Linked DNA regions of Nothobranchius furzeri. The protein of the gene in region 2 interacts with the protein of the main gene of each other region in a pairwise test. Links are inferred from orthologs where the notes say so. Each region holds a gene or a part of one and is shown on either strand. Other genes may lie near its edges.

What was found.
Region 1: the proteins of psmd5 (region 2) and psmc2 interact in binary tests that used the Homo sapiens proteins (3 or more experiments, as listed by UniProt). The link is inferred for Nothobranchius furzeri from reciprocal best matches to the Homo sapiens genes PSMD5 and PSMC2.

The regions. Positions count from the first base shown.
Region 1 is NC_091741.1:59,234,550-59,238,380, reverse strand, and holds part of psmc2 (26S proteasome regulatory subunit 7), read right to left. Parts: intron 2,952-3,831; coding exon 2,852-2,951; intron 2,324-2,851; coding exon 2,192-2,323; intron 2,111-2,191; coding exon 2,038-2,110; intron 1,969-2,037; coding exon 1,873-1,968; intron 1,705-1,872; coding exon 1,540-1,704; intron 1,463-1,539; coding exon 1,375-1,462; intron 1,269-1,374; coding exon 1,066-1,268; intron 960-1,065; coding exon 863-959; intron 1-862.
Region 2 is NC_091746.1:60,974,709-60,977,793, forward strand, and holds part of psmd5 (26S proteasome non-ATPase regulatory subunit 5), read right to left. Parts: coding exon 2,992-3,085; intron 2,907-2,991; coding exon 2,764-2,906; intron 2,563-2,763; coding exon 2,371-2,562; intron 1-2,370. UniProt on the Homo sapiens protein: Acts as a chaperone during the assembly of the 26S proteasome, specifically of the base subcomplex of the PA700/19S regulatory complex (RC).

The DNA.
Region 1 (3,831 bases), on a different chromosome or scaffold from region 2:
TAGTAATTTTATTTATTAGGTGCATCTGACCTGTTCTATTTGTCTCTGAAATGAGATCAAATCAGTGCTTCTACGGGTTGTCTCCTCTCTGCACTAGAAAATTTTACTTTATTATAATGTTCACAGTAATGCATCTTGATGTTCTTAACAAATAAATTAAATCAAAGATATTGGTCAATAATGCCAAATATGTAAATTTGTGTTTCAGTCATTTTCATACTGGCTCAAAAATACTTCATTAAGTCTACTAAGCAGGGGTGTAGAACGTTTTTAATAGGGCCAGCCCAGTAATGATCTTGGACCAAAATAAAGGGGGCAAAAGGAGATGTTTTTCCAGACGCCAAGAAAAATTAAATGCCAAATCACCCCCTGCAAAGTGTGTCACTGAGAGTTTAAAACAAAAATAATTCTTGTGCAAATATTGGTGTATTCACCTTTAATACTAGTTAATAAAATGTAGCAGTTGCTGGATTGGTGCAGTTCAAAGTGGAGTGCATCAAATAAAACAATATCAACATAAAGGTGAGACGTGTCATAATTTCTAATTTAAACAAATAAACTGCGTATTACATTAGAACGTAAAAGCAGGTGGGCATCGGTGGGACGCTCGGGAGGAGCTGAGTGTTTTAGTGCATTCAGGCTTCATTTAGATGTGTACACTTCAAATTTAAAATTCTTGAAACTGAGAAGTATAAAAAATTAGGTGGAAAAGAAAAAAGCTCCTTAAACCACCTAAGGGTTTGCTGCTGATGGTCGATACATTCATCCAGTCATCCATCTAAAACAACTAGGTATTCTGTAATCATTACCAGGAGGTAGGACAGAACCGTTTCTACAGTAGACAGATGGGGATGAGTCTTACCGGTGCTGTTGGGGCAGAGGCGGGCCAAAAGCTCAAAACGAATATCTCTCTCTACGCTCATGGAGCGGGCATGGATCTTAAAGATGTGGGTGCGACCCTGGAACACATAACAGAAGGGGTGAGCTCATTTCTCATGAGAGAAAAGAAATTATCTCAAAAAGTTTTTGGATTCACAGAAGAAATAACTTGTTTTATGATCTCACCTCCAGATCAGGCAGACTGAACTCAATCTTCCTGTCCAGACGTCCCGGTCGCATCAGGGCCGGGTCCAGAGTGTCGGGTCTGTTGGTGGCCATCAGAACTTTGATGTTGCCTCGAGGGTCGAAGCCGTCTAGCTGGTTGATGAGCTCCAGCATGGTCCTCTGGACCTCGTTGTCGCCACCAGCGCCGTCATCAAAGCGAGCACCTGGCAGGTTCAAAAACAGAAGATGGCTCGAAAAACAGCCTTTTGGACAAAACTAGCTGCAAAAACGAAGGATTTGTGAGAATCACAGCACAGATAAGATCCTTACCTCCGATAGCATCGATTTCATCAAAAAAAATCAGGCAAGCCTTCTTAGTCCTGGCCATCTCGAACAGCTCGCGGACCATCCTGGCTCCCTGGAAACACAAACAGAGTCAGGAACGAAAACTTTTCACGCTAACTGCCCCCCTGCCGCCGCCGGAGGAGGACTCACCTCTCCCACATACTTCTGCACCAGCTCAGAGCCGATGACTCTGATGAAGCAGGCGTCAGTTCGGTTGGCCACAGCTCGGGCACACAGGGTCTTTCCGGTGCCGGGGGGACCAAACAGCAGCACTCCTTTAGGAGGCTCAATACCCAGGTTAACAAATCTCTCAGGCTGGTGGAGAGAGGACAGATATGTTAGCTCACCTCTGATGAAGAAAGAATGCCTAAATGAAATGAAAAGCTCCGTTTACAGGGCACAGATTGTTTTGTGGTTAACCACGTTGTTTATAAAGCCGAGTTTAGTTTCACACCCAGACCCGAGTACGGCTGTCAAACTCACATGAAGCAGAGGAGTTTCAACCACTTCCCTCAGCTTCTCGATCTGCTCCTTACATCCACCAACATCGCTGTAAGTCACATCAGGCTTCTCCTCCACCTACAAAGACCCCGTCAGTCACTGCTTTTTACACCAGACATACTTCTATATAATCGTTTACACACACACCTGCATCATGGTGACGGTGGGGTCGATTTTCGGAGGCAATGGGATGTGGATCTGGTATTTGTTGCGGTCAACCCTTGAGAGACAGAAGGAACACTGTGTTTATCAGACTGCAGGAACGAATCTTTAAAACAACTGCAGCTTTTTTATGCCTTACCCGACTCTCATGCCCTCCTCTATGTCAGTCGGAGCCACCTGGTCACTCAGATCCACCACAAACTTAGCAAACTGTTTGACATTGATGATGTATTTGGGGTCTTCAGAGTCTGCATTGATGATCTTGGTGCATCTGATTGAACAACAGGGAAAATTCACAAAAGAACAGAGTTCACATTTTAGCAACTGAAGCCGCATAAAAAACACGACAATTTTTTAAACAATGAGACATTTCACCCACATTTGACAGAAGGGTCATAACATTATAAGATGCCTTTGGTTAGCTAGCTTAACTTATTCCATCTAAAACCAGCAGCACTGACACTGGTTACCAGATTACTAAGTGAACTGATGCCTCTGATTAAAACTGACTAGAGCTGACACACAAGTCATCTGCTCAGATCATCGAGGCAAGTTGGTCACATCAAAGAGGAAAACAGAAAACATCAGAGCATTAATATGAATACACTGAATCAAGCGTTATGGTGTACTGATTTACTCCAAATAGTTGGTAACCATGGTAACAGTCACGTAATTAACTAGTTTTGTAACACTGAGCCATAAGTTATCCCCAGATTACAGTTTTGAGCTCCCGTAAACAAACTACATTTAGAAATAAAAAAAAAATCTTAGTACCTTTAACAACGAACGACTTGCTTACCTCGCTACCTGTAACGGCTGTTCACTCTGCAGGGTCTGCTTGTCAGCAGCCAGATCCCAGAGGGCTGGTGGAGCCAAGCCTGTGTCCGACTCCTTGATGCCTGCCAAATTCAAAATGCACAACATATAATTCAATGTGAATCCTCTTCAGCAGGGTATAGGGCAGGGATCTCAAAATTCAAGACTTTTTAGGACCTTGTAAAAACAAAAATTTTATAAAGACTATCGCAATAAACTAATCGTATAAGCTTTTTAAATACTGCATCGCTTCATTTTCCACTTCAGCAATTAAGACTTTACTAAACTGATTTAAGACTTTTTAAGGGTCTTAATTTTCCTTAAATCAAAGTCAAGAACCCGTGGATGCCCTGCATAGTGTTATTTTAACAGTCTCACTGGAAATTACCATCATGGTTGAGAACATGGGATGGCCATCACACACAGAAAATCAGAAACAAACGATCATCAAACACAACTATAATATGAAAATTGACACCTTTTGTGGATAAATGAAAATATACTAACGAGTCAGATCCACATCAGATGCAGTGGAAATAAATCTAGTTTGGATGTTGATGTTTAATTGTTATTTTTGATATGATGGCCTCACTGTTGCAGGCTGGATGATCTGGCCCAGATGTTGTGTAGTCTAGTGCCACAGGGCAGGGGTAAAAAGAGGTGTTGTGATGGGTGAGGGAGGTCCTGCCGAATGTCGTTGCCTTTTTGACACACTGATCTTTGTAGAGGTCTACTAGGGCTGGGAGTGGGGTACAAATTATCCTCTCTGCAGCTCTCACTACTCACTGCACTTCTCTGTAATAAGTAAAGTGACTAGTTTTCCTTAGAATCATATCAGACTAATCTGATATAAGGAGATCAGAGCACACATGGACTTAAGAGTCATGAATCATGTAACTGCTCACATGTTTTTCTTAATCATATATTTTGTAGCCTGGCAAGCCATACTAAATAATTCTTTAA
Region 2 (3,085 bases):
GAGCAGAGATGCAGAGAGCTGCAGGCAGACCGCTGATTATTCATGAACTCCAGCTGCGTTCTGCACACGGCCACAGTAACATTTTCTAAGTTTCTAAGTGGTGTCACCAAAAATATATACAATTAACACACAGTCATTCGTGTCCGTTCATTTTCTCTCTGGTAAGTTCTGTCTGTATTTGAGCATGACGTGTGGACGCGCTCACGCTGCCCCGGCTGCAGCGCTCGTCACTGGCGCAGCCGGGCAGCGCAGCGCACACTCCGCTTTTTTTGCGGTCAATAGATCAATTTGATCTGCTAGTTAAAAAGTTACTTGTGAGGTGAAAAGAAGGAAGCAGGCAGGAGTTTTTTTGGAGGACTGGGAGATGCAGGAAGATCAGAGACAGACAGGACAGGATGATAAGAAAATAAAACCCAAGAAAACAAAACAAAGTTCTTAAAAAAATAAAATTTAGGTAGATTTATCCCACGACACATTTGTACCTGTATAAAGCAATAATTTATCAGCATGTAGTATTTATATAGCTGATACAATTCAGATCATCTTCAAAACTCCGTCCCACGCCCAGGGACGTATCTAAGCATTTTGGGGGCCGAGGCTAAATAGACCCCTGCCAGGTATTTTAAGTTGAAGTGCAATCTGTTTTTATATTAGACTTTTTATATTTGCAATAAAGTCCAAAAGTGAAGAATTTATGTTATTTATTGATTGTTAAAGCTACCTCACAGAAGTGATCTGTAGTTAAAAATTAAAATAAAAAGGTAATGAAATAAAAAATAAGGAACATTCTGGAACTGTTTCTTCCATTTCTTTAATGTATCGAAAGTATCGGATCGGGACTCGGTATCGGCAGATCCTCAAAATCAAATAACTCGGACTCGAGGGCAAAAAACCCTGATCGGGACATCCCTAATTATTATTATTATACATACATATATCTATATAATTTTAATTGCATTTTATTATCGAACCGATATGATGTTAAAAACATGACAAACATCGGCCGATGATACAGTGTGCATCCCTATTATTACCCTTTTAAATTCAGATGTATGAAAAAGAATGCTTTATTTTATTTGTTTAATCAGTTTATTGGACGATAATGCAATAATAAATGTATACATCATATTTTATCATGTAATCCTATATTTTCTAGATCACACATGTCAAAAGTGCAGCCACAGGCCCGGTGGAGTGATTTCGTGTGGCCCCCACTTGCATTTCTACAATACTGAATTTTGTCTCTTCTGTAGGCTGTTGATGTAAATCAACACTTAGTAATATTTTTACATTCAGGGTTTTGCTACAATGTCTATTGTGGACTAATGTTTAGGTGTACACACACAAAAAAAAATATATATATATATATACACACATACATATACACATACACACTATACATTTTTTCTTTTTTTTTTTTAAATCCAATATTTGTGTCCCGTGAGGACTACTGACTTGATAATGCCGTCACTCATTTTACAATGTTTGATCAGATTCTCCGCCAGAGTGCAGAGAAAAAGCATTAGAACCTATATAGCAGGTACTAATTGTATTAAAGACGTAGAAGTTTTAGAGGCTAAAAAAATCTGTGTATCAAACAAGATACAAATGGTATAGAAGTCTAAAGGCACACTTCATAGTTTTGTTTGCTTTTACCACCCCCTACTGTCCGTTATTAATTCTCTGGTCAAACCGAAAGCAAAACTTATCTCATCTCTGTGCGTTCATCTTTTTAACACCTTAATCCAACAGCTGAAATGTCTCCCAGCCTTCATTAGTGTCCACAGGAGTGACTCGTCACTGAATTAAACAAACCAGCTGTGTTCATGATCTAAAACATGCAGGAAATGTGTTGAAAGCAGACTGCAGCACCAGGTATGTCAGCTCTATTTTTCTTAAGTCCCAACAGAGCACCTTGCCAGTCTGAAGCTGCAGATCCAGTATTCTGGCCACAGGGCGGGGTCTGAGTGACATTTCATTAACCTTGTAAAGGATTATTTTAGCACATACTGGGTCAAGAAAATGATTTTAAAACATGATAAAGCAGCAAAGTATGGCTTTAATAATTAGAGTTCTTAAGTTTTAATAAGTTTAAAAGATCACAGAAATTTAAATATACAACTAATTTCCCTTTCAAAATAAACTATACGTAAACCAATCTTTTTATATATATATTTCATTTTTCATTTATTGACATTAAAATAAAATTACAGAAAAAAATTGCTACAAGCCAAAATGAAAAAGGGGACAGAAAGAAGAAAAACTTATGTTATCTGTCCCTTTTAACTAAAATAACATTAATACAAATGAAACAATCATGATTCTTAAAAAATAATAATAATAATAAATTCACAAATGCCTCTAACCCACCTGTTTTCTGTAGAACCTGCTTCCCCTCAACTGTAGACCCAAGCAAGCCCAAAGTGTCGAGGCCCACGCCGATCATGGCAGGGTCCGGATCAAGGGCCATCTCCAACGCCTTGTTCAGGAAGGCTGGGTAGGTCTCACACACCTGCTGTGGGCTGTCCATAATGGCCAGGTTCCCAAAGAACTTCACCAAACCTAAAACCAGTCCAACTTCCATGGTAAGAACCTTCTGTGTTCCTCCTTAATTAATACTGACCATTTAGACAAAGCTGTGACTTCTTCTCCCCTTTTAACCAACTTTAATGTATTGGATCAGTTAAATCACATTTAATAACTACAAATTAATTACAAGTGTTTCTAGCTTATGCTAAGTTTGAAACGGATATAAATTGTTACCTGGAAGGTAGAGTGAAGAAAATGAGTCCATTTCTGCTCCTCTGATCATGTTGGAGATCTTATCCATTATCCCCTGCTGAGCTAAATATTGCCGGCCATGCTGACTGTGAGCCAGACTGGTCACCATCTCTACTGCTGTGGCTCTGGTGAAATAAATAGACAAGAGAGGATGGGAAAGCATGAAAGGATGTCACACAAGTAATTTATCGATGATAAAAACAGTGGTACCTAATCAAAACATCATCCCCCGTCAGTTCTCCGAGCAGCTGGGAGATGAGGCCACTGCTGGCACAGTAACCGAGAGAAATGGGAGAAGCAGATG